Linked DNA regions of Kluyveromyces lactis. The protein of the gene in region 3 purifies or fractionates together with the protein of the main gene of each other region. This does not show direct contact. Links are inferred from orthologs where the notes say so. Each region holds a gene or a part of one and is shown on either strand. Other genes may lie near its edges.

Region 1 (4,817 bases), on a different chromosome or scaffold from region 3:
TGACAATGGACAGAATTCACGACGTTTCATATCTAAACCCTTAACTTCAAGAGTAGTTTTCTCATTGTTTTGCTTGTCAAAAGTAACATTCAATGCAGCATACTTTTTCTTAGCATGCAACAGTAACCTTTTGAAGATGTTATCAATGTCTATTTCAAGCAAACTGTATCTTTCATTCACCAGCTTTTTAAAGTTTTCACCAATTTTGATTGCATCCATGTAATTGTCACAGCCAGTACTGATCATGACCGAATCGGTATCACCGTACACAACTGTTAGACCCAGACTCTCCGCTAATTGTCTTGTGTTCATGAGAATTTCTCTCCCCTTATTTGTAACTAACATTGCTAACGGTTTAGCATAAAATCTACTGTTCACATAACCCAAACAACCATACATAGAATTTGCCGTAAGCTTCAAAGCTTGCTGCCTGATATCATATTGGGCTTTTTTACTTGCGTCATTTTCAGTCTTCATTAGATTTTTCACTTCTCTACGTCTTTGGACCAGGTTGGCCAATAATCTTGGCAGTACACCTCGTGATTTTTCTCTTGAAGGCACATCTGGAAGTTCTTCATTATCCTGTGGATTCCTGTCAACAGTAGTGAAGCAAATATTAAACTCTTGAATGATAGATGGGTACAACGAATTGAAATCCATGACCAAGATATAGTTTTTATGCAAACCTTTTTCTGGTTCAAAGACCAACCCACCCTGATATTTTGATTTTTTACTGGACACTTGTGGCTCCATAGGATCTTCATTCTTTTGTTGTCTGTCTTGCTTCATTTGCCTTGTTTCTTTATCAGGAACAATGTAATCATTTCTGTTAAATTCATGAAGCAAAATATATTCATTTCTACCAGCTCTTGTACCACCCAAAGTCTGTCTCCATCCATTGCCTGCTAAATTAGTCAGTTGTTTGGTTAAAGAGAGAATTTGAATGCGGAATGCAACTTCTGCTGTTATAATGGAGTTTTCGATGTTTTCGCCTAGCGCTAGAAGCATCTGGGATTCATCTTCCTGATATATTGGGTTTAGGTAATTAATTTCGAGAGATTTTCTTTCAATACCGCAGGAAACTTGATACATTTCGTTTAGTTCCCAATTTTGACATTTTGGAGTTAGTGACTGACCCATTTCATTGGAAATGTCACATAACAACCTACCTGCAAATAAATCCCTAACTATGAACTGTGTCATACTATTATTATGTTTTCCAAACTTGTCTGGCCATGCTTTCCGCAGTCTTCTCCCAAAGACACTAAATTGAGGAATATTTAACTCATAAGCTCTGTGTGCCAGAACATCCAAGATGACACCTTCCAATCTATGTCCTATTATAACATCAGGATCATTTACCTTCAAGAGAGCACAGAAACAGTTTAATAACGTCTTTTCGTTATTGAAGAGACGCACATTTCCGGATAATTCTTTCTTTGATTTAGGTCCCAGAAGAGGTGGAAAAGTTGATCCTTGTGGAGGCCTTACTAGTGTCACTATTTCATTTGGTTTGAGATTTTGTGGAATTGATGAATCTTGAGATAAATTTTTGAAGACAGCCATACTTATAGCAACAATTTCCTGCTTGTTTTCTTTTGCATTCATGACGGTCTGAATAGACAATGATATACAGTTCAAGCTCGGAGATGATTTTTCATTCGTTGCTGAGATATGATTAGGTGAATCAATTTGAACCTCAATAGCACAATGCGAAGCGCCTTGAACTGCATCAAAATCGCCATCTGATATCTTAAGCCAGCAAGGGCCCATGATTTTCCTTTGGACAACAAAACTCTCAAAAAGGTTTTGGTTACCACCGAAGACGTGACTGAATGTATCTCCCTCAAGTTCAGCGGGAATAGTAATTGACTTGCATTTAGGAGTATCATAAGGTAACAAAACCTTCAAATACTCCGCTTCGTGTGGTATTCCTGGAAGTTCAAAGGCATACTTTTTCGTTTCAGGCTTAGCGCGAAGTGATTGTAAGCCATATTTATCCAATAATAGAGGTACAATTTCTTGGTGGACATCAGACGCTGTTTTACCCTCCTTAGGTAGAAAATACAGCTCTCTATTGAAACCATTGATTTGCGCCATTGCAGAGACTACTTGATTCTTTCTCGTTTTAACTTTACCAAAGAGAATCAAAGAAGAGTTGACTTCGGTAAAATCAGTCCAAAAAAAGTTAAAACTACCGGTCTCAGCGTCTACTACATCCTCTTTAGGTATTCTTTGTCTCAGTGATCCGGAAATTGATTCTGTTGCTTGTGTGGACCCTGTAGAAGTTGACAATGGGGTGTTAGGAGCAGTGACATATGTTGGCGAAGACGTTAATGGTGCTGTTTGAGCGCTGATATTCATCTGCCTTTGAGTAGCTATTGATTTGAATTTTTTTCTACCAAAGTGAATATCATCTTCGTCATCTTCACTGTCATCTTCGCTTTGATATGTCTTCTGCTTGCTCATTGAAGGAGAACTAGCCACATCGTTTAATAATGATTCAATATCGTGGTCCTCTTCCATTGAATCACAATCGATAGGATTAACGCTATCAGCTTTAAAAGGTACAACATCTTTACCTTTAAGTGGGGATGTATCTACCTGAGGGTGTTTATAGTTCATAGGCGTAGTATTTGCAGGTTGTTTTCTGGATATCGTTAGCTTCGGCTTCTTAACCAGAGGCTCTGCGTCAAATTCACTCAAAATATCATCAAATTCAGCAAGTGACACTTTCTTAGGTTTTTCTGTTGGCATTGTCATTTTTCTCTTGACATTTTGTTGCTTTATGATATCGCTGATGGTATCCTTACCTTTGTTATTCTTACTGGTCTTATTACGCTTTTTGCCTGACTTTGCATCAACACCATCGTCTTCATCAGAGTAGAACTCCTGACTTTGATCCCATTCATCTACACCACGATCCACATATCCACTGCCATCATCATCTTCAACAAAATCATCTCTTAACAACTCTTGTCTTTTCTTACTCCTATATTGATCCTCGTCAATCAAGTCATACACATTTTCTTCTTCCAGTTGTTCATCTAGCACATCCCTATTCGATTTATTATTCCTAGCTTTCTGCAATTTTTTGAGCAGTTCAAGTTTGTTCGCATTACTCATCCCGAGCTAGTGTTTTAATAGTGTAGGGTGGCAGTACGAACTACCCTAGTAATTTAGTTTTGTTGTCTTTCCTGGTTTGAGTTGCAAGAAGAAGATGATGAAGATGTTCTTACTTTTACGCGTTCTTTTTTTTTTTAAAGTTGTATCTATCTGCAAAGCACGCGTTCGAAATCTATGAACTTAATGGCACCAACGCTGAGACAAAGCGAGAGTGCATGAGAAGAAAAGCGAGCGAAAGATTGAGTGACAGTAGAATACCGACAACACTTGAGTGGTTAAACGGTGAAGCCGCTGAAGTGTTAGAGAGTGTGCGCTCCTCAATATTATGATACGAATTTCCATTAGTTGAACCAATTGGCGTTGGCTTGGAAAGAAAAATGGATCACATGACCTGTGGTTTAAGACTGTCCTCAATTTTAAAGTGCTCAAATTGAGGTTTGTGATCATTAACTGAAGGGAAGGATAACTGTTAAGGAAACAGCTGATAGCAGGACCCGTAAAGATAATCGCGTTACATCTGATGTCCTTTTATCAAAATAGTACTCCAAAAAAGGAGGACAATCGTGCAGATTCTAGTGGAAACGATGCGGTGCCTTTGTTGATAACACTAGAACAGAATATTCAATTACTCAAGCGTAAAGCTCATCTAATAGGGACAAGCAAGGACGGACAACTATTGAGGGTTGATATAAAAAATAGAGTAATCCCCGAAATCCAGAAAATTAGTCGAAAACTGGCTGACTTAACTTCGCTAGATACACAAGATAAATTTGCTCGAGATTTTCAAGCGTTAAGCAAACAATATAACAGTGTAAAGACCGATTATGAGAATAGGGCAGTACAGAATCCCATACCTGACGAAGAGAGTAAAGATAATGAATCGGAACATCTCGTATCGCAATATGAAAGCATGCCAATACAAGACGATATCGAGAGGAGGGATCATTCTTCAGAGGATACTCCGTTACTTTTGTCTACCCAACAGCAAGAGCCTTTGTTGAATCAGGATGAGTTAGATTTTCACACGATAATTCAACATGAAAGATCCCAGGACATATCAAAAATCCACTCTGCTGTGCAAGAGGTCAATGCCATCTTCAAACAACTAGGAAGTCTGGTACAGGAACAGGGCGAACAAGTTGACACAATTGGCGAAAATGTGACAGGATTATCTAATAATTTGCAAAAGGCGAACAAAGAACTTCACAAAGCAAATGAATATCAAAGGAAAAAGAACAGATGTGGTACAATACTTCTAGTAGCTATTGTTGTTATCACTCTAATAACTCTTATCGCGATTCTATCATAGGGTTAGATTCTACGAGGAATGTAACTATATATTAATACAAAATTTATCTCTGGCCTTATACTTGGATGAAAGTTACGTTACGTTTTAGAGAACACGCATCATCAGGTAAATATGTCCGACTTAGAGGTTACAACTAATTATTAATCATAGCTTACTTGTCAGTATCCTTTTTAGTGCTTTCGGAGGAGTTATTTTTGGATAGTTCATAAGACTCAACATTCTTGAGATCTCCACGTTCAATGACAAGATTTTTGAGAAGTCTGTTTTCCATTTCAAGGGTATTGATTCTTTGCTTCAAGTCACAAGCTAACTGTGAAAGATCTTGGACCCAAGTTTCCATTTCTTTCTCTTTAAGTTTTTTAGTTTGATCCAAGTTCGGCAG
Region 2 (4,621 bases), about 120 kb from region 3:
TTGTAATTGCTATTACGATCTGCCTTAGCTGCTTTCTTTTCTAAGTCATCCCAGTCATCACCTTCGTCATCTTCTGATCCATCGGCGAAATCATCTGACCCTTCATCACTGAATTTTTCGTCATCCGAATAATCCTCTTCTTCTTCAGAGTACACTTCCTCATCAGATGGATCCTCATCAGATGCCTCGTATTCTGAAATTTCTTCCTCGCTCTCATCAGATCTTTCATCATCGGATCCAGTTGCCAAGAACGACCACCCACCATCCAAAAAGAATTGATGAGGATCATCTTGTAGCGACTTCATGATTGTCGACCAGTTCAAGTTAATTGTAGAAACAGTATATGGAATATCAACATCTGTTAACCATGTCTTAATGAATTCAAGTTGCTCAATTGGTACAGTGTTTATATGAGAAACAGGCTTTGTCAAATCTTTATAAACAAAGACCATGTCAAAGTTCTTCAATCCAAATTGAACTCTTTCAAGTATACAAATCTCAACTTCGTTCAAATTTATGACTAAAAATGGCGGTTCAACTAATTGAATTAAGCAGTCTCTCGTTGGCATACAGAACACGGCTGATCTAGAAGGAACACCTTGGAAACCAAGATCTCTAAATGGAGAATCTACATCTAGGAGACCATCGGATGCCTCTGCTATAGCTTCAGCAAAATATCTAAATTCTTTATCAAGGGCAGCACGTTTTCTTCTTTCTTCTTGTTCTTGTTCTAATTCATCTTCATCACCATATCTTCTAAATTTCATGTTGTTGCGTCTGCTGTTTCCTGTCTCATCGACAGCCATATCAGATGCTTCTCTGTAAAATTGAATATCTTGGATCTTCTTTTTACCCATTAAAATAGGATTCTTTAGATGAACATGAATGATCACAATAAGTTCTCCCTTTGATGATTGGAAGAATAGATTCTTGATGTTTGAGAATAGGATATCAATTCTTGAATCTGTCCTCAATGGAGACTGGTATCTGATACCATTTTCATGAATGAACACCGTACCTGGCACACGCTTGGTATCGGGACTAGGCCTGACAAAGATTTGGTCCAAACGTTTAGTCCTACCAGTTTTGTTCTCCACCAATTTAGCCTGGACAACAACATCAGCCAAAGCTTTTCTTTCCTGTTCACGTTTGGTAGATTCCTTCTTAAGATCAGTAATTTGTTTGAAAACATCGCTCATGCGAGCACCATCCTTAGATCTTAAAGTTAGAGAACGAACAAATTGATTCTCTGGGTTCTCTTCATACGGCAACTCCTCAGTTTTCTTACCGACACCTCCAGCACCAGGAGAATGGAAATTCAATCTGAGATAAGTGTATTCACCTTCTTCATTTTTAGAACCGTTTTTGTATGAATTGATATGAAAAGGTACAGGTCTACCATAGATTGGTAGAATGATTGTCTGACTCTTCCAGTCGACATGAATCTTCAAATCACGTACATTGGATGGTATTTGAGTTTCCCTAACGTAAGATTCGTACTTTTTGAAGAAATGCTTTGGCTTCTCATCGCCATCTACTGCATCTGCATCACTGTATCTGAGTAAACCTTCCTTCTGTAATCTTTCATGAAGTTTTCTTTGGTTCTCTTTGCGGATTTGTTCTTTCTCTTCATCGTCAGCACGACTTTCTCCACGTAGCTTAGATCTCAAAATCTTCGATGTACCATCAGGTTTTGGTAAAGCAGGAGGCTTGCTTTTTTCAGATTTAACAGTTGCAGCTTTGTTCTCTTCTTCGTTGTTGAAGTAAAACGAGATTTGGGATCTAGCCTTTGTGTACTTGGTCAAAGTGGATGGCTTTCCATCAGAAGAAAGTTGAACGGTATCTGCTAATTGAACAGCATATACCTGACCAGTTTTACTATCCTTTAAATTCCCAAATCCGAGTGAAATATTGTAACAGCAATTCTCTGAAATTTTATGAGCGGTTGGTTTAGCATTGATCATACCAGCAGAGTCTCTAAATTCCAACCCCATCAAAGAACCAACATTTTTAGTAAAGTGAGATAATAATTCCGGTTTCTTTTCTTTGATGAATTCCAGTGTCTTTTCATAAATAGATGTTGGATCAGCTTCTACTTTTAATAAATCATCGATGATCTTCTCTTGCAAAATCAATAAAAAGTCATAATTGTCAGTCATTTCATCTGTCGGGTCAATCAAAAAAGTTCTGGTGATATTGGAACAGTAATTCTTGTATCTGATACCGCATGAGGCTAGGATGGAACCCTTTCCGAAAAGTGAGTCGTTGTTAGAACGAGCAGAAACCTTAAGGTCGAACTTAGAACCTGATTGCACAATTGGAGAATAGGCCCAATCAAGGAAATTAACGTCGAATTTCTCGTCGGTAGGACACAAAGGATTTAGATCACTTGAAAGTTTCTTCAAAAACTTGGAATCATCTATCTTGTTTTCAATTTTATCTGACAACTTAGAATTTGATATTTTTAGTTCTTCGTCAACAGCATTGACGATTTCATTTGACATAAGATCCATGAATTTGTCAGATCCCTTACTGGATACAGAAAGGTAAGCCTTTTCCTTATCATCTTTGCCCTTCCAAGTAGAAGACAAACCAGCAGAGCAATCGATTACGTTTAAAGAATGCGTCTTTTTAGCTTCTTCCCAAAGCGGTTTCCATTCAAGAATGAGCTTACCTTGATATGAATCCTTCGTTGGGACACCGACAGTATTACCGTTTTCTGATAACAGCTTGATGAGGTCCTCAAACAATTTCTTATTGTGATTTGCATCCTTGTTATTTCTTTGCCAGATCTCAAGTTTGTAATCTGATCCTTCAAACTTAGTAACAGCGGGCAAAAGATGTTTCGCCTTAGCACTGCTGGTTATGATGACACCTTTATCCTTGAAAAAGGCAATCAATGTAGCTGGAAACTCATACCCTAGCAACCAATTATGCAAAATGGTGGTCTTTTGATAAGGGTTTTCCTCATTAGTCGAACCAAGTACAAAGAGAAGACTATTTGGAGAACCTTCAAATCCAGAATATGCCTTCCCTAATTTTGTAAACCTATCATAAAAGGCTTGGAAATCAATTTCAATTCCTCCGTCACTCATTGTTACTTGAGATTAGCACAATGGGGTCCTCAATATCTAACCAAAAAAGACAACTGCCACGCCTAATAGAACAATGAGTTTGAAATACCGAGCCACGAAATGCTTTGCAGGTTATTTCAATAAAAGTACCAAAGAGTCCCTTTGCTTTAATTTCCTGCCAGCTCTTAAACAATGGGTATAGTTTGCAAAAATTATTAATGTTACTCTTCAATTTAAAACTATAATATATGCATTATTGGCGTCGCGTTTTTTTTTTACTAAATTTTGAAAAATTCAGGTTAAAGGGAGAATATATCACTGTAAACGGATTTGATTCTCTTCACGTGACTGGAGATCAATTCCATACTAAGATGCTTCCAATGTATTTTGAACCGAGGATGACTATAATAGAAGTTAACAGTGGAAAGTGCACGTTTACTTTTCATTATTGGGTGTATATCAACATCAAAGCCTATAATCACATCGGGGTGGTTCACTGGTTTATTTGTACCAAAATAATGAGTGGGAACAACTTAAGTTCTGCTAACCATCTGGATAGCGAGAAACTAACAGAATTATTGAGGAAGAAGTATCCTTTTTTGGTGATGTATGATGGGAAGAACGATGTAATAGATCTTGGAAAGTTTTATTTAGGATTTGCACATTTTATGTCGCGAGAAATTACTTTTGCGGAGCAAATCAGCAGCGAATTTATATTCGCCTTCATGCGAATAGACTCAGAAAGAAGACGTCTTGAGCATGATGACGAATTGTTTTCCAAGGCATCCGATGATCTTTTGGCTACAAGAAGAAATATAAACAGATGGGCTAAAGAGTTAGAAGTGCAAATACTTCCTATTGTACTCTCTGCATACCAAATTCTTGCAGGTGATTTAACTGAGGGAGTAGAGAAGATAAAGGAAGCACTTAGGGATGAAACTTTGGATGGATTAGCCATAAGACTCAATATCCTTTCAGCGTATGCTATCGATATTATTAACGAAGTGATAACTATTTATCCGGAAATGTACAACCTGTCGGTATCTAATAAGAGAAGTCTTGGGGATTACTCTCTACACCTCACATTAGCAAGTCTTCTTTTGCAGTCTCTTCATCTATTTGCCGACCTTTGTGAACGCCATCCGAATTTATACCAACGATCGTTGCAACCTTTCACTTATGAACAATTCCAGATAGAATTGCAGGAAAAGTCGGAAGCAGTTACCAAGATCAACGAGGAATACGAGGAACTTATTAAAAGCATTACGACCATAACATTTAACAATGTAATAAATTACATGAAAGACAAGAAGACAAAACTACGAGACACTTCTAAAGAATACCTTTCTAAAGAATAGATATGAAGTAAGAAATTTCGACGGAATTTGTTATATGCATTGCATCTCATCACGAATAAATAAATTATAGCATAGAATCATTCTGCATTTCCACATGGAAACCCAATAATTAACTCCTCTAAATAATGAATACTTCCCTAGAGAAAGCTACTAGCAGTTTTATAAATATGAGAAAGATTTCTAATGCTC
Region 3 (3,278 bases):
GGAGTAAGAGAAGAAAAGATCATCAATGCCAGCACAAGCGACCATACCAGTAATTGGACCTTCGTGGAATAGAGAAGCATCATCCACATTTGAGGTGAAGTTTGGTATGAAACCATTGTTTCCTTCACTAATTTTGTAACACCCTTTGTTATCACCTTTTAGAGGTAATTGACACACTTTGTAAATAAAGCCATCCTCGCAACCAAGATATATGGAAGAAGGATCAGATGGCAGCAGTAGCATACTAATTATGCTCAGTTCGTCATAAAGCGACATTATCAATAGGTGTTGGTAATACTTGTTATCTTTTTTAGTCTGTTCAGTAGAATATGATAAGTCCGTCCTTGGGATAGGAATAATTTTGACATCGTCATCCTCTTTTAATGATAAATCTAAGGTTGATATCAGCTTAAGTTGGCCATTGGTGCTGGCCGCCAGGATGCTATGGTCATTGAATTTTGGAATTATAATTGAAAGTACCGGATAGTGATGATAATTAGTGGAAACAATATTTCTTTCCACCTGAAAGCTATTATTTATTTTGACTGTTCGCAGTTCATATAAGATGAGTTTTCCTGTATAGCAAGAAAGAACGACGGAGGTAATCTTAGAATTAGGATTATCAATAAACTTGCTCCGTACAACATTCTGACCTTGGAATAAAACTGTATCAAGTACCTCACCAGAAGAGACGTGTGTGATTTGAACTAAAGAGCTTTTCACGTATTTGGTTACAAGATGAATCACAGTAACCAGTAAATTATCTAAGACGTCACTGGAAATGACCCTTGCTTCAGAAGTTGAATCAATGGCAACTTTTGGTGAAATTGATAAATACATGCTTATTTTCCCATCACCAGCGATTTGATGAGAAGATGACTTGAGCGCAGCCGCTTCTATAGTCTCCTGTAGTGAAAATGTTTCTTTCTTCAACGTTGCGTAGTCTTCCGCTGAAACGACATTTCCGAAATCAAACACATCCTTTTCAACAACTTCTTTATCCTCCTTGGTCTCTGTAATATCTGAAGTCGATGCTTGCTGTTCTATAAGATCTTGGGAAGGTAGATGTCCATCTTCCATAATTTCATGTTTCCCGTCATATTCATCTGTCTGTATTCCGATATCATATGTTATCACAGCCTCCTTAACAGCGCTCAATTCAAACTCATTTACATCATCTGTTTGCACTGAGATCTCAACAGTTTTTACTTCTTTCTTGACTTCAGATTCGTTGTTATTTATGGAATTGGTGATATGGGAAATGAACGGAAGGGTACAATCTGCTATCTCTTCATGTTTCGAATCAATTTTTTTCCTTTGCAGCTGAAGAGCCTCTATTTTCTGCTTCATCAACTGTAAGCGCTCATTCTTGTCCATATTTCTGGGTATATTCCCCCTGAGGTTGGTGTTGCTGATGAGCGCTTCTTCACTGACGCGTTTTATCTTGCTTCATGTATGGATTTGTTAAGCGTAAACAAAAGATGATAAATAAGATTTGAGTATTATCAAAAATACGATGTTACAGTAAGTTGGATGAATTTCACAATAGGTTGGAGGATAACACATTGCAAGTAAGTCCTTCTTGTCTGAATACACCTTTACAGCAATTATAAAAGCCACCCCGGTGTACTATCCGAACACTTCCTCCGCTTTGAGTCCTGGTGGTAGGATCATATTTCTTTAGTACAATGAGCATTGATATTGACGACATTCTAGCTGAGCTGGATAGGGACACTACAGCTGTTGAACAAAATGCTTCTTCATACCCAGACCAAAGCGATCGAACTCAAGGCAATGATGTCTCTCAGATAAGACCAGCAGATAAGGCGGTTGACCCTGTGGCTCCCACACAGTTTAACAAAATTGACGACTATCAAAAGCTAATTACACATTGGAAGAATGAACGTATGAGTCCGGAGCTGCTTCCATATCCACATCATCTCATGACTAGGACATTAATAAGGATTCAAGAAAGAATTGAACTAATAGAAACACTATCAATGGGATACTTAGAAGATAATCAAGAGTTAACTGTCGATTCAAAGCTACCACTTTTATGCATGGAAGCAGAACTTGAGAGATTGAAGTTCCTAGTTCGATCTTTCATCAGATGCCGGTTAAGCAAAATTGACAAATACAGCATTTACCTAAGACAACAATCCGAACTACCCAATAATGCGGGCCTCAGCAGACTAGATTTATTGATGTCCAAAGAAGAGGTGAAGTACCATATGAAGCATTCTGACATATTACTAAAACTGTTTAACAACGCAGTACTTAAGCACTTACCAGAAGAACTGCAAGCCGTTAACGATACTGAGGGTTCCATCAGTATGATTGATGAACCCGATTGGAATAAAACTGTATTTATACTAGTTTGTGGTGGGGTAGTTGACGAAAGTGGTATTGATTCGAAATTAACGACCGATGATGATGGAAAACACTGTTACTCAGTGATTATTGAAGATTTAAATGAAGAAATTTACTTATTAATCGGGGCAGTATACGTAATACGTTATAGTGTAATACGAGATCTCATGACTGAGGGACGAGTAGTTTTAATATAATGAAAATTCTGAACAGTATTACTGAACCTATGACTCTTCGAAAAATATAGGTTTGTAACGAATGTTTGCCAGCAATAATTTCTCAACAATGTTATTGCGAACACAGCATGTTTTCTACCTAGTGTTATTGACTGCTGGTCTATAGTGCTTTTGAACCAATTTGTATTAGTATTACATCAATTAACGTTGAAAAGTCTATCTAGCATACTCAAAGTGTACCTATTTTTCATATTTACTGTATGCAAAACCCATCCGGCAAGCATATGATCAGCTCAGAGAAATCCTTCAATATCTGGTTTCTGGGCTTGGGCAAGCTTAGCCCTTTTGGTTGTCTGCGGTTGAGATTGAGATAACGACACTGAATGTATTCTTTTCAATCCTGTAGTCGAGTTCATCTCAACGACAGAATCTAATTCCTCGATATTTTGCGAGTTGGCATCTATGTTACTGGAAGAGGACTGGTTTATATTAGATTTGGCATGTTGTGATGATCTAGACTTCATAAATTCCATAAACTTAGGGACTAAAGCTAACTCCTCCTGTGTCTGTTTATGTAGAAGTGTCTTGTTTGTTTTCTCATTGGTATCCAGCTTCCCCTCGTGGAACAAACCAGTGGTATCATTGAACTCAAGCTGGAAAGAAACAGTGACATCATTGATTTTATCCCATATAATTTGGATTTCATCGCCATCATGAAGTAAGATCTTTGTG
Region 4 (4,255 bases), on a different chromosome or scaffold from region 3:
ATTCTCACAATTTGTCAATGGTAAGTTGTCCTGCAACGATTTCCCGTTGTATAGGGCAACTTTTGACAACGGTTATGTCCTTAAATTCTTCATAATTTTGTCACTGGGATTTCATGCAAATTTACTTCATCTCTGCGAAGAAGATGAGTACCAGAAAATGGGCATTGAAAGGTTTAGAGTTGCTAGCCAGCGAATTTTAAGAGAATACAAGCTCGAATCTCGCGTCTCTATTCCCGATATTCTGGAAGGATCTTTTAGTTATTTTGCGTTAATAAATACCACAAATCTGGAGCCAACTTATATGCCATCTCCCGATTCTGATCCATTGGAATCACAACTACATGTATTGGCATACCAGTCTTCTCTGGATAGAGTAGAATTCCAGAAAAGGGTATTTATGGGTTATTCAAATACGAAGCATTCAAACATCTTACAGAATGGAACGTTTTACAGACCACTGCCATTTTGTTTTAACGTCGAAGTACTAGACGATCCGTCACAAAAGAGCAACTTTGAAGTTTGCTGTGATGGGCAACTTCTTAACTTACTAGAGTTAGAGGGAAAGAATACTCCACCATCCACGATAAGAATTGAGACTTGTACGGAGCCATCATTAAAAGTACTACATTCTTTATAATATATTAAACCTTACATTATTGTCTATATAATTTCCAAATCATCACTTGAGCCTTCATCTTTATCGAGCCGCTCTTGGCTGCCTTTCATTATTTCATTGAAGATAGCGTTTCTCTTTTCAATTTTCTCTTTCAATTGTTTCTTCGAAGGTTTCAGGCTAACATTATCTTTCTTTATATTGCAAATATCCGTTATCGCCAGCTGTTTATCATTCTTTGGCGCCTTATTCTCTGTAGAATATTCAAGCATCTCTAAAGACGCTTTCCCTTTTGTTGGGTCATAACCAATTTGGTTCGCTAAACCATGTTGGAACATGCTCAACGTCGCAGTCTTTTTTGCTTCTTGATTGACTCGGTCTTCCTTCTTTGACAACAATTTGTCGGATAGACCCTTTAACTTTTTCTCCAAGTTTCGATTGTTTCTGAGTTCTTGAATTTTGCGTCTTTTGTTATCAAGGTTGGCCAGTATGTCAGGATTTTCGTAGTCGTCATCGAAAAACGCGGTAGAGGCATTTGCAGAACTGAAGAGGAATCTGTTGGTCTCTGCAGCTGCCGGTTCTCGTACAAACGGTTTATCAGGATTTTGTTGATATCTTATGGATGTTTTACCATTATTGTGTTGTGATTTTACAATAGTCTGTTGATATCCTTTGACAACTGGCGCTCTCATTGCCACAGAGCTACTAATTTCAACTCTTCTAGAACTGTTTTGCCTCATTTTTGCCTCTTTATGATATGCACAGTAGTTATCATGCAATTTGTTTATTGGCGCACCACATAGCTTGCCTTTGTTCTTCATGTAAAATTGGCACAATCCGAATTCCTTACTGTGACCTAGTTCCAGTATATTATTGGTGTCTTTACTAACTTTTAACGAAAATGTAGCGTAACTAGGGCTTGCTCCCGCTTCCAGTTTCTTGGAAGGCATTATTTCAGGGTTAAGTATAGCAATCAAATCACCTAATCTTAGTTTGTAATACTTTTCAACTATACTTTTCCCAAAGAAAATAACATTCAGTTCAAATTGGAAATCACTTATGGTTAGGCTGAAGAATTTCACCGGTTTCACAGAATTTGTCATTCTTGGTTCAGTTTTCTTTGAGATGATACCCAATACCAACCAATTGGGATAATCAGGTTCAGAGAACTTAGGGGCTCTCACCTTACTGAAGAGCTTTGGAAGTCGAAGCACTTTTATGTTTTTAGTATGTTTCCTAAGTACGGCCAACGGTACATACCTTCTGTCTATAACCAGACCACTCAAATCATCTTTTTCATCAACAGTAATTGGTTCATATTCATCGAACATGTCGCCATTGAATGTGTAAACTCGATGTGCCAATAATTCTTTCTTCCTTTTAATCGCTTCATGTTCATTTGTATTGATGGAGCGAAGTTTTTCAGTAAAGTAAGAAGTGGTACCCAACTTTTTGACCTTTTCCCTTACATAATCCTCATTAACATTAAATGTAGCTTCCTCTATATCTGCTACTGGCGCAATATGTTTGATATCCTCTATTCCTTTTGTAGCATTATCTGATTTCTTAGGAGACTCTGGAACGTCGATAGAATCGAAATTAGGGTCTTTGAGGTTTCTCTTCTTCTCTAGTTCCAACAGCCGGTTAGTTAAATCTCGTTTCTCAGTGTCAATTTCAACAATTCTTCGTTTCACTTTGATTTAATGATTGGTTATAATATGTTAGTAGGATATTCTAATGTCATTGATCTCGGTAACCATTATTATTAGAACATACCTCTTTCGATTTCAGATTCATCATCAGATAATTCCTCGTACGGGTCGAACGCCGTAATTTCTCTCGGGTCAGTTAGATCATATGACATGATGCATCTTCACTGTTACCTATACTCGATAGCTTCTGTAACTATTCTCGTTCATTCTTTACTTGTGGGATGTCATTATTTTGTTTTCTCGTTTGAATATCTGTGGAAAGTAATACTAGTATTTTTTACATGTTGAAAACGAATGGTCAAATAATGATACATAATAGAAAAAAATTAAATAGAACTTCGGTAATATTAACAGCCATAAAATCGTCTGGAGAATCAGGCTTCCTGACCATCCTCAGTATCACTTTCAGGCTCTTTGTGACGTTTCTCAGGCTGTTCTGTTGCGGTGTCGTCTATGGGTCTCTTATTAGGAGAAATTTCTGACGTTGAGAAGGGACTAGTGAATGTTGAATGAGAGCCAAATACAGGGGCCTGGAATGCTGCACTCATATTAGAAGTGTCATTCTCTACAGGTTTAATTGTGGACTTTTGTTGTTCTAAATTCCTGATCTTGCTTTCCAAAAATTTCAATTTCAAGGAAACTTGCTGTTTCCCTTCTTCGAAAGATTTTTGTTTTATTTCTGCCAAATCTGCTTCAAATTGCTTACGCATGGAATCCTTAAGTGCATTCAATTCTGCACGATGCTTTTCTAGAGTAATGGCATCATTTCCGATCTCTCCTGCCAATTTTTGGGCCTTTTCGTTTACCTTTTCTTCAAAGGACTCTTCTAAAACAGCTTTTCTTGCCTCAACTATTTTATCAATCTTTTGTTGAGTAGGTAACCTGATCCGTTTCTTGAGGGCTTCTTCTGCTAATTTAATTTTTTCCAGAGTCTGCTTCTCATATTCTTTTTCCCATTCATTCTTCAAAGCATCGATGTCTATATCCAAGGTAGGCTGCGAAGGAGACTGGACAGTAGTCTTTTCGCACTCTTCACGAATTCTCTTTTCTCTTTCTTCAAACTGTTTCCGGAGCTCTTCCTCTCTGGAATTCCAAGCAGATTCTTTTTCTGCCTCAAACTTGCTCCTCAATTCTTTTTCTTTATCTTTTATTAATTGTTCTTTTTCAGCTTCAAATTCTGTTTTCAAATTATCCACTATTGACTTCGTGTCTTCGTTGATAACTGGCGTATGATGTTCAGCTACTATTTTTTGAGCGTTGGAGGCTTCGGCTTCAAGCTCCTGTATTTTACTATTTAACATTTCCACAGTCTCAGTCAACGATTTTATTTTTTCATCTGAATCTGCATTATTCTGTTCGGTCTTGGAAGCATTTTCCATTTGAACCTGAATAGAATGTAGATCTTCCTGCAATTTAGATAATTGAGAGTTAAAAGTCTGTTCCTTTGTTTCTGCTTCTTGCGTTACCACTTGTAATCTTTCTTCTAACTCTTTGCAAGCGGTCTTACATTTTCCTAAATCGGCCTCCACTTGAGATTTAGCTTCATTGATTTGGTTTATTTCTGATGATAAAGATTGTTCCTTTTCCTTGGAGGCATTCAATCTATCACGTGCTTGAAGCCTAATTCTTTGGAACTTCGATTCCCAGTCATCTTTCTCGGCAATGACGCTTTGCAAAGTATCCTTGGTAGTTTGCAGTTCATTTTTAACATCGTTAATTTCCTCCTTTAGTTTACCATGTTCTTCAGGATCAATACGTTCATATTTATGTAAGATATCTTGAGAACGGCTTTTCCACCGTTCTGCTTCTTCTTTCGATTGAATGAGTTCCTGTTCTTTAATTTTGATACCATTTTGCAAAGAGGAAATGGACGACTGTAGTGGCGCCAGCCTATCATTACATTCTTGCAATTGCGACTTTAGATTGTCAC
Region 5 (4,757 bases), on a different chromosome or scaffold from region 3:
TCGAAGATCCTGCAAAAAAATCCTATCCAACTAGTACAGAAATGATTAGGATGAATGGATACTATAGCACCTCAGCAGCTGCATGCAAGTGCATAAATGTAAACTCTCCTCAATCTTCGATTTCAGAAACTGAGCAACGATTTGAACCATCGTCTTCGTTAAAAAGAAATTATGATGCTCCGTCTGTGTTTCTTGTTTACTACTGCACGAGATTGCAGTGATAATGAAATTGGCAAAGGAAAAAAAATAAAAATGGAAAAAATAGTTTCGAATGAATTATAAGTGATGCGATGAGATGAGATGAGATGAGATGACATGGCCTCACTGCACCACATTGTCTTCAGTATCCGCTTATAAAACCCTAGTTTAGCTTGAAGCGTACTAAAGGCCAACAGACAATTTTGCGAACTCACAAGTATCGGAAAAAGAGGTAGATATTGATTTAGTCGTGAGTTGAAAGATGGTCTCTACTCATAATAAAGACAAGCCTTGGGATACGGACGAGGTTGACAAATGGAATATCGAGGAGTTTAAACCCGAGGACAACAAGTCTGGCCTTCCTTTTGCTGAAGAATCCAGTTTTATGACTCTATTTCCAAAGTACAGAGAAGCGTACTTGAAATCAGTTTGGAAAGACGTTACGAGGTCTCTCGATGCACATCATATTGCATGCGAATTGAATTTAGTTGAAGGTTCTATGACTGTAAAGACTACAAGAAAAACGTATGATCCAGCAGTAATCTTGAAGGCTCGTGATTTGATTAAACTTTTGGCCAGATCTGTGCCATTCCCACAAGCAGTGAAAATCCTAGAAGACGATGTTGCCTGTGATGTTATAAAGATTGGTAACTTTGTTTCTAATAAAGAAAGGTTCGTGAAAAGAAGGCAGAGACTAGTGGGTCCTAATGGTAACACTTTGAAAGCCTTGGAGCTTCTAACAAAATGTTATATTCTTGTCCAAGGTAATACTGTCTCAGTAATGGGACCATATAAAGGATTAAAGGAAGTACGCCGTGTCGTCGAAGATTGTATGAAAAACGTACATCCTATTTACCATATCAAAGAACTCATGATAAAGAGAGAACTTGCTAAGAAGCCTGAGTTAGCCGAGGAAGACTGGTCTAGATTTTTACCTATGTTCAAGAAGAGAAATGTTGCAAGAAAGAAACCAAAGAAGATCAAGGAGAAGAAAATATACACACCATTCCCACCTGCACAATTACCTAGAAAGGTTGATTTGGAGATTGAGTCCGGTGAGTATTTCTTGAGCAAGAGGGAGAAGGAAGTCAAAAAGTTACATGAGCGCAGGGAACAACAAGCCGCTAAACACGCTGAAAAGGAAAGCGAGAGAGCCAAGGATTTTATTGCACCAAAAGAAACCGACTACAAAAGCTCAATTTCAAAATCTACAAAGAGCTCTTTAGGAGACAGGAAAAGACAGCGTACCGATTAAAGCGCTAGTAAGTATTTTATTATATAATCGCGTTTCCATCCTTTTCTCATGACTCAAATTAAGAAATATAGTTTTAAGTTAAGTTTCAACCAGTTGCTTTGTTCAAAAATCGTCCCAGTAGACACTTTACGATTATATTTATGGACCACGTATACGCTTTTCACTAACTATCATTCATGCCAGCAACGTTCTTGCTTTTCCTTATGTCAAAACCTGCGGTGTGACAAAAATATAGTACGTACGATCAAGAAGGTTTTTTGAAAAGAAAAATGAGAAAACGCGTAAATATTTAAGGCTCGCAGCCCAATCTTATAAGCACGATAATGTTACCAGGTAAGGCATTATTATAACCGTTTTATTAAAGGAATTCAACACCTTGCAAACACTTCGGCACATTATCAAGTGCAGAATGGACCTACTAGATGATTTGAACGTTGGCATTCATAAAAAGAAAGGCAAAACATATTCTAAAGCGAACGATGCAGAAGATGAAGAGCTGAACGTGGGAGAGCACAAGTTTCTAGCAGAGAATCTGCTTGAAAGAGTCAAAAAGAGACTAAATGGAGATTCAGATGATAGCACTGCTTCGGCAATTGATAACAGTAAAAAAAGCACATTCTTCTACAGTGATACCGATTTGTATGAAGGTAAAGAGTTGGACGATGAGTTTGAGGCAATGCGTGAAACTGCTGCAGTACCAAAGCAGCGTGAAGTGGAAATCCAACAGAAAAAACATCCAATATCTCAGACACAATTAATTCCTACATTCTCTTCATCTTGGCTGGCAAAGACTCAAGTAAATACTCAGGCACTGGAGGGCACCAACAGAACCATTGATAGACAACAGCAAGATTTAGACACACAATTGAACAATGAGGAAATTACACAGACTACACCAGATGAACACACTCTTGATAAAGCTGCAACCGAAAGTAAATTGCTGCACAGTAAAGAAACTTCCTTTCGAAATACTTCGTTTACATTTAAGTTGACAACAAACAACAATGAAGGACTACTGGCAACTAAACCAAATGGAACTCAAATAGAGAATGAGCAAAAAGTGGTCGCTACTCAACTTGATGTTGCTGAAAAGGAGAAAGCCGTGCCTCTTATAAAAGATACTATAGAAGAACCACATTTACCTGTAGCACCATTAAAGGCTGTCCGAAAGAAATACCTCCCTGAACAGTTCATTGCAGCTTTTGATGATTCGGAGTCATCCAACGCAGAAGATCTTTCAGATGAGGAAAATGATGCTGATGAATTGAAAGATATGGCATCTACTCAAGAGTTAGTCACGAAACAGAAGAGTGTTGTTACTAATATGAATGGGATTATTGCCATTACTATGAAAAATAGTCCACAAAATGTTATTGAACTGAACTCTTCGTCCGAATCTGAAGATGACTATAAATCACAATCGTCCAAGGCAGCATTATTGCTGATTAAAGCTAAGAGATCCAGGAATAAGGCTACTAAAGCAAAGAACATGCATGTTTCTACAGTTGACTCTTTGAAGGAATTGTTTACATCTTTGAAAACAAAGAACAGAGACCAGATACTTGAATTTAGAAGAGAAATATCCGGTAAAAAAGGAATATCACTTGAAGCGATTGAAGATGAAAAGATTCAAGTTGAAAAGCTTCTAGAGCAAGAGCTTGAAAGGAATAGGAGAGTTAAACTAAGAGAAAAAAGAGAAAGAGAGAAATCAAAAGATACGAGTAAAGCTGCATCTTCTGGTAGCGCATCCGATGTCCCTGATAGCGATGTGATGGAGAGTGATTTAAGCTTATCAGATAGTGATGTCGAGCAGCATTTAGGGCTACACGGGTCCACTGGTTCAGACGAAGATAGCGCGGATACATCGGCAGCCCATAAAAACAACAATCCTATAATAGATGATGACGAGAGTTCTTCGTCAAGTGATGATAATGAAGTCACCCAGGAGCCGATTGGCATCAATTTAGGGCATTATGGCGATAATTTAACTTCCTCAAATGTAACGGAAAATGATGGTGCTGATCAAAGTGACAGAAATGTGCCTTCAAATTCAGAACTGAAGATGAACAGATCACATTCAGCGAAATTATTGGTGGGAGAGTTAAGTTCCGATTCCTCAGTAGACTCTGATTCCTCAGAGGACGAGCTCGACGAAGTAGAAAGGAATAGGCTTCAAGAAAGGGCTAAAATGCGCCGAAGAATGGAAATAGAGGCAGCAAAAAAGCGGAAGCAAGTACTTAAATCAACTGGTCTCAACAAAATATTGGAAATGGAAGCAGAAGAATCTGAGGATGAATGGCATGGTGTTGGTGGTGCTGACGGAGAGAATTCAGATGACTATGACTCAGATTTGGATACCATGATAGATGATTTTTCCAAAAGCAAGTTTGATACCGCTTCAATAAGAGAAAGGTTAGCCTTAGAGAACAAAGAAATGGACGAAAGGATGATAAATAAAATCTTACATGATATCAATACCGGAGGCTTTCGTAAACGTGGCCGAGGAGCACTAGATCTTGAGTTAAGCGATGATGAGGATGAGTTACTACGACAGTTTAGGGAAAAAAGAAGAGAAATAATGAAACAAAAGCTACTAGAAAATGTGGACGGTGTAGTCAATAACTCAAAATCAAAAGCCTTTTTCGATAGTATGGTGGAAGATATAACTAGAAAGTCAATCCCTGCTGTCACATCATTCAGCAATACTCGAGATGAGATGGGAAAGAAGAAAATTGTCATATCAGAAGAGTTTGTTCAGAGTTCATTATCGTTTTTAAGTGCAAAAGATGATGATATCAATGAATTTGAGGTCACTGAAGCAGCACATGATGCAACTGAGGATTTGGAATCTTTGAAACAGCGAAGCAATATTAAATCTCTCGATTCCCCTCAAAGGAATAGAAACTCCGCCTTCTTTGATGATGTGGATGGTACATCTCTGGACTTCAAATTGCCCAGCATCGTAAAGTCTTTTTCGTCAAACTCAGATGTTAATGACAAGTTCAAAACGGGGATCAAAACTGTTACTATATCTAAATCTTATAGAGTAGCCTCTGGTTCTCGATCTGCCATCACTTTCTTGGGTAAAAAGAGAAAATTGAAGGCACCCCAAGGCCGAAAATCCACACCGTTGGTACGCAAACCAACATCTAGCTTGTTTGACTCCAATTCCGATAGTTTCACCTGACCCATCCAACTAATATGTCAATTTCATTATAAAATCTCTTAAAATTACATTTGTATAATCATTATATCAGAAGTTAAATTCAGTGTTCAATGCCTCTTGAAGTTCATTATATGAAAC
Region 6 (4,881 bases), on a different chromosome or scaffold from region 3:
TCTGTATTTCCGCATCCTATCTCATCCATTTTTTCCAATAACAGCGGGTCATCCGAGAAACCTGGTGTTTGTGATACAATATATTCAATCTCCAGTGGTTTATATTTGGGGAAGAAGATCGTGGGAACCTTGAACGTTGAGTAATTGGACAAGAATGAGGATTTGGAGAACGAGATTATTAACCGAAGTTGAATCATCGCTTGTGGAAGAATAGATCCAGGTAATGCCATGAGTTGCGTAGGTGTTTCCAAGTTCACCTGTGAATTATCATCCAGCCCATCGAGTATAACATAAAGGTTAACGCGTTCTACCAAGTGATTAAATCGGATAAACAATTTATTGATAAATTTCTGCAAAAGATATACGTCCTCGGCTTCAAATGGATCAAGATCAGTGGTTTCCACACTAGGAAATTGTTTCAGTAGCAATTGACGCAGACATGTAGCCAACCGCTGACAGGTGGATTTGCTATATATCAGATCTTTCGCTGGTAGTAAAATGTTCATGATTTCTTCATTGCAAGCAAAAAACTTCTTGAGGGTATGTGTCTTACCACTTCCATGCGGCCCTTCTATGAACAAGATTGGCGGGCTCAGTTTTGGATCGGCATCGACAAACGCTTCCAAAAAATCTAGTTGTTCTTCTCTATATCTAACATCAGGTCGTACCATTCTGGGTCACTTGATTCGCAGTAAATAACACATAGTGCGTCTTCATTCAGGTGGGAAGAATTCAACCATGCTAAGTTCAGAACAATTTCCTTTATGTGTATATATATTTTTTATTTTCAGATCTATTTTAACACATAAACACTCATAAATGTTAAATGTAAACACATCAGCAGACTAAAAGATAATACAACAGATGCCAGGGACTTGAACCTATAAGAAATCATTCAAAGTTTCTTTCAATGTTCTAAAGTCAAAGCTTTCCGCCAAGTTCTTGAAAATTTGTAACTGTGCCATGAAAGATTCCTTAGATACGGCAAGTTCCCATTTTCCTGAACATGGACAATAAGGTGACATTGCATCCTCTTTGATCTTATGACATTTATTGCACTTAACATCTTGGGTAATAAACGATGCAACTTGGGCTTGAAGTCGTTCGATCACATGCTCTTCAATGAGATTTTTATTCAAGGATCTGTTGCAGCTCTGGCATATGAAGACTCGTTCCATACTTTCTCTGCAAATATCAATATCTGATATATAAGAACAATGCTCACATATGAAGCTAGGGATCACAAAAGATGTACTTGGATCCTTGAATTCAGCTAATCTGTCGAATTCGCGTATTTCAAATGTCTTTAGGAGTTCTTTCCTTAGCGCCCTTCCTTCTAATAAATGATTACTGGAAAGTGATAAAATATGTGATAAGTATTTGACCAACTCAAGAAGCGGATTTTTCACAACTAGATGCGACCCAGGAATTGTGGGAGATAGATAATCCTTGCCGAAGTTAGGATCAAGAATATATTCCTGTTGGTTCTTGTAAAGTTTCTCTGCTCTTTTGATGAGAGCTTTTGAAAAATTATGGGTAAAACCGCCTAGAGAGTCAGTTTGACTATCTACGTCACTATCAGCCAGTGTATTCTTTGGTAATTGGGTTAATCTTTGTGTGGATGCATTTCGCTCATGATAGGCTTCCTTTGTCTTAACCATACTATCCAGTATGACTACTAACCAATCATCAAACTCTTGCTGATAAATTGCAGGTAAGAAATCCTTTATATGCCAATGAGAATAAGCCTGGAAACTCTGAACTTCTTTATCTTCAATCTGTAGACATGCTCTACCACCATAATTATACTTATCCATCCAAATCAGGACATCCCAATATCTATCAATTTTCAAGTCTAGATAGGCAAACATTGGTTTAGATCTGATCGCTTTCATGAGATACTGCCCATAGGCGTAAGAATTCTCAACGGAACGCTTCTGAGTTTTGATTAACAGTTTGTTTCTGTCTGCGAAGATGAGAGATGATCCTGCCAGCTTAAATTCATTGATCAACTGTAACACGGCCTTTTGAGTGAGAGTATGGATGTGATATCTCAAAGCATAATCGAATAATTTCGCGTCAGGGTTATACACCCATCCTATAAATGCGTGTACTAATGAGTCAGCCGTGATATTATCACCTAAGGCATCATCCCAAAGCTCTTTCAACAGTGCGCGAAGCACTGACAAGGCCGAAGAAGAGAAAGAATCTTCAACAAAACCGAAGGATTCTTCCTTAGATGTCGAATTTTGGGCAAGGTCTGTACCTTCAGCCTCGTTCAACATGGTGCTGCTCAAAACAGTGTTCACAACAGAGTTATAGACACTAATTTCGAAGATAACGTCATCATAGATATCAGGGTTATTCATAATAGGGAACACCAAATCAGTCATGAGCTCCGCTTTCCGTGGGTCAAAATCTCTTTCAACGCCACCGTGGTCAGGCAACGGCGATTTATCATTCCACCATAGAACGATGTTGTTCTTTTTCAACTGGCGAGCGTACATCAAATCGATAATGTATCCGAGATTATCGACTTTGAGGTTACATATTGGAATGTTGCTGTATTTTGAGAGAGTAATCAAATTTGAGATCCAAGAACCAAGAGACAATATGTGATTGACCGCTTTCCTCATTAATTGTCCCTGCCAGTTCAAAGCTGGCAAATGTGTTTCAGCAGTAGCTATTTCAACAACAGGGAAGGCATTCAAAGGCTGCAACAATTTAGCAACTCTATGGGTATATGGAGATTGTAGAATCACCATTGTGTGAGATCCTTTTTCTTCCTTAATATTTTGCAGCATCTTTGAAAGGTCCTTCAGTAAACGCTTTAGTTCAGTATAATCATTCACGTTAAACGAAACGTTCTTGTTTATCTTGATTAAGTCATAGTATTTATCGAGCTTTTCGAACTTTTTCTCGTATATCTCGTTGTAAAGAGATTCTATAGCTTTATTAGAAACTTCTTGAGCATGAGTGCTTGGTTTCAGCACAAATATTTCTACCACATCTTCCCATGCTTTATACAAGAAATAGAATTCATAGCCGATATCTGTTACAAAATGTAGAAGGTAGGCAATATCAAGGTCAAACCTTTGGAGATATCTATCTGCTTCAACAGGATGTAAATTCTTCATATGAAAACCGTTCTGTAAACCTTTTCCTAGCGCACCCATTTTTTCAGAGCTGAATTGAATACACGTCCCTAGCCGCATTATGACTCTTTCATTCGAAGAAATTGAGCTCTCGTATATTCCCAAAACATTCTCGTTGTTCAATACGCTTGATGCTTTATTAACTTCGTTGAAATAGGTATCTTCTGACATTGTCAGTTTAAACAATTGACTACTGCTTTCATTGTTGATGCCTTTCACGTTAGGCAGTTCCGCGTTGGACTTTTCGACGATACAGTTTTCAATCCCTCCCGAGGGGAAATTCTCCGTCTTGAAGTTCATGAGTACAGTTTTGGGAATGTTTACTTTCAGCAATTGGATTTTCCTATCGATTAAAGCATAAATTTCTACGACACCTAAATCGATGGACGGTTTACATTGTAAAATTTCCCAGCTTTTATCTGCATATGATTCAACGTGCTTTCTTATCAAATTGCCCAAAGCAGACCGATCAGATGCTCGTGAAGTTTTACCAAATAGCTTTTCTCTTTTCTTTCGATCAATATGCTGGATCTTCCATTTGGTTTTTTGATATTGTAACCAGCCCACATAATCATCTAACATCGGAGGCATTTCAGAGGGTAGCAGCAAAGACTCTTCTTCTAGTGCTGTATCCCCATTACGTCTTTTGCTCTTTCTCTTGTACGTGACCTTAGCGATACGTGATTTATTCGCGGAATGTTCATCAAAAGAGTCTTCTATATCTTTGACTTCAGGTGGAGCTTTGGTAGATTTGAAGAAACGATTCAAGGAAGTCTGTTTGAATTTATCTTCACTAACAGCAATTTTCTTTCTTAACCAATCAGGATGTTCAACACGGGGTACAGGGTTTTTAATGTTTTGTAATGCTGCCGGTATTGTGATAATTTTTTGAACAACAGAAGCCAATCTTTCTCTATAATAGTCCCAATCGATAATAGCCCTTGGATCAAAGTCATTGAGACTTGAGTCCAATAACCATCTCCTTAAAAATGTGCGCTTAACATGAAGATCGGAAGAAAATATAGCAACAGGAATAGCCCTTTCTGTCACCGGTGCATTATGTGGTTTGGAACTGATAATAAACTTACACTGTAAGCCTGCGTCTTTAACCATTGCTTCCCCCAAAAATTCACCGAGCCTTCTTGCGGTGGTAATGGAAGTTGACTTTTGTCCCTGATACTCCTTTAATGTTTTTGACATACTTTTATTCTCACAAATCAGTTCAATAAGATCTTCAGTTTCGAGCATTGCACCCTTAGAATCTAATACATCAAGCCATCTATTAGCAACTGTTGCTACTGCAGCGTAACATGACTCTAAGGTTGTTCCTTCCAGGAATAACTTGAAAATATCACTCTGGAAATTTTTGATTAATTGTAGTTCACCTCTTCTTTTTAGTTCGAAACCTTTTAGTTCAGCCAATGAACCATCTTCGTTGAACACAGCATATCTCTTCTTGATACCTTTACCTTCTTCTTTGGAAGTTGGCAGTATCATTGCTTTATATGGTCCATCGACTTCAAAGAAAATGGAATTATCACTTTTTGTTTGGTATTTGAACTTCATAGGGTCGACGAGGTCTTGATATTGATGATTAGTGTATTTTTGATGAACTTTATAGTTAAGCATCGAACAAGGATACGAAAGAAATAGTTTCTTGCCGTTGCGCAGCTTGATTTCAAAATTTTCCGGAAAACTCTTAGGAAGGATACACCAAATACCATCG
Region 7 (4,152 bases), on a different chromosome or scaffold from region 3:
AAAGAGCAGCATGTGACAACTATCAGGAATAATTTAAACCAATGGAATTTTGTCTTCAACACACGTTTTACCAAACTCGCTTGCCATGTATTTATCTATATTTGTCATGTCATCCTGAGTCATTCATGCTGAGTTCAAAGTCAATTCCGACCCTTCATTGTCGTTTAGCTATGAATCTTTTCTTATAGTGAAAAAGAAACTATTCCCGGACAATTCGTCAACTCCAGGAATCTCTATGATATATTCTATAGTTAAGGTACCGTCTGTAGCTATCATACTAATATCTAATATACCTCGAATGTATGAAGCGAGTTATCTTGGATCAAAATTTCTTTGTGCATTCATTTCATCATTCTAGTTCTTGATTTAAGGATCTTTCACCAGAAGTCATAGAATAACTCTTACAGAACCATTAAATGATTGAAGCATGAAAAAAGCAGTCGATACTTTTACGGGCTTAGCAAAATTATCCTTCTCTCAACCCTTTGAAGTTTAGTTCTCTGGATGGGACCCTTATTCTTTTGTCAAGCCATTTAGATGTACTAAAAATTAAAGAACTAGTCAATCAAACAAAAGAAAGACACATTATTCGACAAATACCGCGAGGAGTGTATATAGTTTTTTATTTATTTATTTGTACTAATACATGATATATGAGTTTTTCATTCCAACTTGGCTTTCTTGGAAGGTCTTTCAGACTTTGAGGTTTCACCTTCTGAATCGGAGGCGGATGCTTCTGAATCAAATTCTTCAGCGACATCGTCATCTTCGTCGGACGCATGGAAATCTTCATCTACAGATTCTTCATCCTCACCTGCAGAACCCATGTTAATATCTACATCATCATCATCGCTGTCTGAGCCGAAGGCAGTCTGCAGTCTCTGTTCTGCTTCCTTATCTTCGTTCTTTACCCTCAAGTTTTTGGACCTCAAGAATGTCTCTAGAAGTTGTTGTTCCTCTTTAGAAATATTAGCAAAAGTAGTAGTACCTCTATTGGCACGCATAACAACTTCCAAATCGAATGTTCTGGCTGATGTAGATGTCTGACCAGCTCTTGAAATATTGACCGCAGCAATATCTTGGAAGGGTATATATAGGGTTGGTTTCGTCAAGAACAAAAACGCATTGTCCAATGGGTATAAGTGGCCTTCATTGACTTTGTATGAACAGGATACCGCGCATTGGTCATACTTAGACTTGTATTCACCAGGAACAATGACTCTTCTTCCTGTCAAACCCTTTAAGACATGACTTAGTACAATGTGAGTTTTAGCATCGTATTGTTTCTTTAGTTTATCCTTGTAAAGCTTTTCGAACTCATCATCTTCCACATTTAGTTGGACTTCTGTTTCCTCGTCCTTCTGGAATTGTAACACCAAGAATGGGTAGGATGTCTGACCTTGACGGATTGGTGGATCAATCGATAAAACCATCAAGTAATGGATGTCGTCAGCTTTTGGCAAAGAGAAGATTCTGTTTATTTGACGATGTTGTAACTTGTACTCATAAGTCTTACCTCTAAGTCTGATAGAGTTTTTGTAGATATCAATGTCGTAACGGCCTCTTGGCGTAGTGAAGAACAGATCCTGGAAAGAAATGATGGCATCACCAGAAATTTCACCGATATCTGCCTTAGATCTCAATTCTTCGTAGAAATATTCTGCTAAAGTCTTCTCTTCTTGAACGTCTGGTTCTTCACTACCCTCTTCCGTCTTAACCTCCGACTTAACACCGTCTTCTGCTTCTGCTTCGTCCTTTACCATGATTTGATCTTGATCTTCATTTTCTTCAACTGTGCCTGGAACATATAACCTCATTTCAACAAGTTCATCACCTGCAGGATTATATGCCTCATTTTGGGTGTCAAATTCTAATGCAATCTCATTTTTTGCTGTTAAATTAGTGTTATTGATGTGCGTGTAAGGGATTTCAAAAGTTGGCTTACCGTTCAATGAAAAAACCATTTCGTTTCTAGCTAAGTCCAATTTACCCCAATTCCAACCACGTAAAGAATGTTCCCTGTGCTCTAATTGCATGTTGAATCTACGTTGGAAGTCATTCTTCAATAGGTTGAAATCCTCTTGTTGGAACCCATCCATTTGAATCAATCCCTTATTCTTAGTACTAATTTTCAATTCGTAGCCTCTACATCCTCTACTCCATTGAACGGAAGAAACCTCATCTGCAGCCAATAGCAAAGGTTCATTATTTTGAGTAGAGGCTGACCCACCTGTAGCGGATGCCTTCCAACCAAGACCTCCTTCAGCTAGACGGAAACGTCCACCGAGCTTGGATTGGTTGTAATAAATTCTATCGAAATCTGTACTCATTCTCCACTATCCCAATATAAGAAATAAAAAGTAGGTATCCAAGACGAAGATCACTAGATTTCAGTAATACTGACCTGTCTAACGTAAACTATGGGCTAACAACTCTGCCTACCGTTAACGGTTTCATATGTCTTCTTATTTGTTCATGTTTTAACAACATCTTAAACACTTTGGCGATTTTTCATTTTCATTTCTAGTAAAGTTTCCAATTCGCGTCACGTTGACAAGAGGTAAGATGGGGGAGTGAACGGAAAAGAGACAGTTTTTACACACGAAGAACTATCAGGTCGAGGCCCACCCCCCTGTTGCCGGAGGAACAATGTATGATACTGCAATTACCGCTAGGTCATAAATTTGGTTAATGTAGGAAGCTGTATATAGTTTGTTATAAAATAATAACTAGGTGGAAAGAATAAAGGAGGCAGCTCATTTGAAAATGAATCTACAATTTGGAATCAACACCCCTGAGGAATTCGACCAAACCGATAGCTCCTGGGTCCGGAATTGCTTCAGTGTCTTCCACGTAAGATGCACGGCCGAACTTGGCTTCTAAGTTTCCTGTAGATTCTGCACCTCCTTCCGCCTTGGAAAAGGCCTTATGGAAGTCCTGAGTTGAACTAAACTCTTTCACGAATGGCTCCAAGGCATCGATCATAGTAGAATCACCTGGCCTAGCTCTAGTATATTTACACAATGTCTCGTATGCAACTTCTAGCGATTTGGCGAAGGCTTCTTTGTCCACCGCATCATTTTCTCCGCATTGTTCAATAATTCCTTTTGAAAGGCCCGAAATGAATATAGAGTACAAACCACCGGATGTACCACCCATTGCGGATTCAATATGATCAGAAATTTCTGCAAGGGTCTGAGACAAATACTTGGAGGATATTTTATCCAAGTTTTCAGTGATTGCCTTAGCGCCAGCTACTAACGTATAACCACAGTCACCGTCACCAACTTGGTTATCCAAATGTGTAATATGAGGTTCACTTTTAATCAATTGATCGGCACCTGCCTTCAACAGCTCCGATAATTTCTCGAAGTCGTATGTTCCAGCCTTTTTAACGTCAATAACATCCTCGAGAATACCCTCGTCATATGTAGGAGATTTACCCATTTCGACATCTTTTATTGGCCATGCTGGCGCCTCTGTATGGTCGTTTAATAAGTCAAGCACAGATTTTACTTCGCTGAACTCCTTCTTGATAGCTCCAGATGACTTTGACGCATTGAACAACGTGATACTGAATCCATTTCCATTGAAAGATGTCATTAAAGTTCCGCAAATACTTTGAACTGGAGTAATGTCATAATTCTTTTGTAAAAAAGATTTCGTGATATCAACGATGGCAGTTAAGATGAAGTTAGACACACCACCTAAATTGTTGACAAGGAGAACTACCTCGTCTTTTTTATCAAAAGATACAAAATGTCTGTCTTCATCCTCTGAATCAAGTAACTTGGGTAGCATATATTTCTCAATCAACTGCTCCAAAGGTGGAATGCTGTCCAAGACTTGAACACCTGGTTCATTATGGATACCCATACCGACTTCCATTTGCTTTTCATTTAATTCCGTCTCAAATGGTCTTCCTGGTACCTTACAATGATCTAATGATGAGCCAATCGTAACTAGATTTTCATTGATGACTTGAGCTACCTTGCTGACACCATCGAGACCATACTTGCCTGAATACTTCTCAGCAAATGCACCGACAATTTTATGAACCAAGGTAGTTCCTGCTAGAGCTCTTCTACCGACTAACCCACCTTTGTTACGACCAACAGCAACGTCATCTCCAATAACAGCAACAGAGCAATT

What was found.
Region 1: the proteins of SLD5 (region 3) and POL1 purify together in Saccharomyces cerevisiae (affinity purification with western blotting; 9 studies listed by BioGRID). This does not show direct contact. The link is inferred for Kluyveromyces lactis from reciprocal best matches to the Saccharomyces cerevisiae genes SLD5 and POL1.
Region 2: the proteins of SLD5 (region 3) and SPT16 purify together in Saccharomyces cerevisiae (affinity purification with western blotting; 3 studies listed by BioGRID, with this or other methods). This does not show direct contact. The link is inferred for Kluyveromyces lactis from reciprocal best matches to the Saccharomyces cerevisiae genes SLD5 and SPT16.
Region 4: the proteins of SLD5 (region 3) and MCM10 purify together in Saccharomyces cerevisiae (affinity purification with mass spectrometry; 3 studies listed by BioGRID, with this or other methods). This does not show direct contact. The link is inferred for Kluyveromyces lactis from reciprocal best matches to the Saccharomyces cerevisiae genes SLD5 and MCM10.
Region 5: the proteins of SLD5 (region 3) and MRC1 purify together in Saccharomyces cerevisiae (affinity purification with western blotting; 3 studies listed by BioGRID, with this or other methods). This does not show direct contact. The link is inferred for Kluyveromyces lactis from reciprocal best matches to the Saccharomyces cerevisiae genes SLD5 and MRC1.
Region 6: the proteins of SLD5 (region 3) and POL2 purify together in Saccharomyces cerevisiae (affinity purification with western blotting; 5 studies listed by BioGRID, with this or other methods). This does not show direct contact. The link is inferred for Kluyveromyces lactis from reciprocal best matches to the Saccharomyces cerevisiae genes SLD5 and POL2.
Region 7: the proteins of SLD5 (region 3) and POB3 purify together in Saccharomyces cerevisiae (affinity purification with western blotting; 6 studies listed by BioGRID, with this or other methods). This does not show direct contact. The link is inferred for Kluyveromyces lactis from reciprocal best matches to the Saccharomyces cerevisiae genes SLD5 and POB3.

What each region holds. Positions count from the first base shown.
Region 1 is NC_006039.1:1,128,638-1,133,454, reverse strand, and holds the start of POL1 (DNA-directed DNA polymerase alpha catalytic subunit POL1), read right to left. Parts: upstream 3,127-4,817; coding exon 1-3,126. Other genes in the region: SNAP receptor VAM3, read left to right, coding at 3,647-4,435; MET4 (Met4p), read right to left, coding at 4,587-4,817. UniProt on the Saccharomyces cerevisiae protein: Catalytic component of DNA polymerase alpha, which in complex with DNA primase (DNA polymerase alpha:primase) constitutes a replicative polymerase. POL1 has a role in promoting telomere replication during interaction with CDC13.
Region 2 is NC_006042.1:906,452-911,072, reverse strand, and holds the start of SPT16 (chromatin-remodeling protein SPT16), read right to left. Parts: upstream 3,096-4,621; coding exon 1-3,095. Other genes in the region: KLLA0_F09867g (uncharacterized protein), read left to right, coding at 3,323-4,432. UniProt on the Saccharomyces cerevisiae protein: Component of the FACT complex, a general chromatin factor that acts to reorganize nucleosomes. The FACT complex is involved in multiple processes that require DNA as a template such as mRNA elongation, DNA replication and DNA repair.
Region 3 is NC_006042.1:1,023,290-1,026,567, forward strand, and holds SLD5 (DNA replication protein SLD5), read left to right. Parts: upstream 1-1,688; coding exon 1,689-2,567; downstream 2,568-3,278. Other genes in the region: PAC11 (dynein intermediate chain), read right to left, coding at 1-1,377; serine/threonine/tyrosine protein kinase RAD53, read right to left, coding at 2,840-3,278. UniProt on the Saccharomyces cerevisiae protein: Required for DNA replication. Functions as part of the GINS complex which plays an essential role in the initiation of DNA replication by binding to DNA replication origins and facilitating the assembly of the DNA replication machinery.
Region 4 is NC_006037.1:50,605-54,859, forward strand, and holds MCM10 (Mcm10p), read right to left. Parts: upstream 2,478-4,255; coding exon 2,390-2,477; intron 2,307-2,389; coding exon 661-2,306; downstream 1-660. Other genes in the region: KLLA0_A00550g (uncharacterized protein), read left to right, coding at 1-637; MLP2 (Mlp2p), read right to left, coding at 2,700-4,255. UniProt on the Saccharomyces cerevisiae protein: Required for DNA synthesis. Required for entry into or completion of S phase. Involved in DNA replication and seems to participate in the activation of the pre-replication complex (pre-RC) and in transcription elongation.
Region 5 is NC_006039.1:35,280-40,036, reverse strand, and holds MRC1 (chromatin-modulating protein MRC1), read left to right. Parts: upstream 1-1,862; coding exon 1,863-4,640; downstream 4,641-4,757. Other genes in the region: ribosome biosynthesis protein KRR1, read left to right, coding at 461-1,453; VAC17 (Vac17p), read right to left, coding at 4,707-4,757. UniProt on the Saccharomyces cerevisiae protein: Required for normal DNA replication. Phosphorylated in response to DNA replication stress. Phosphorylation allows it to mediate the activation of RAD53.
Region 6 is NC_006039.1:231,832-236,712, reverse strand, and holds the end of POL2 (DNA polymerase epsilon catalytic subunit), read right to left. Parts: coding exon 882-4,881; downstream 1-881. Other genes in the region: ORC5 (origin recognition complex subunit 5), read right to left, coding at 1-671. UniProt on the Saccharomyces cerevisiae protein: Catalytic component of the DNA polymerase epsilon complex which participates in chromosomal DNA replication.
Region 7 is NC_006038.1:444,310-448,461, reverse strand, and holds POB3 (FACT complex subunit POB3), read right to left. Parts: upstream 2,331-4,152; coding exon 663-2,330; downstream 1-662. Other genes in the region: DAK1 (dihydroxyacetone kinase), read right to left, coding at 2,773-4,152. UniProt on the Saccharomyces cerevisiae protein: Component of the FACT complex, a general chromatin factor that acts to reorganize nucleosomes. The FACT complex is involved in multiple processes that require DNA as a template such as mRNA elongation, DNA replication and DNA repair.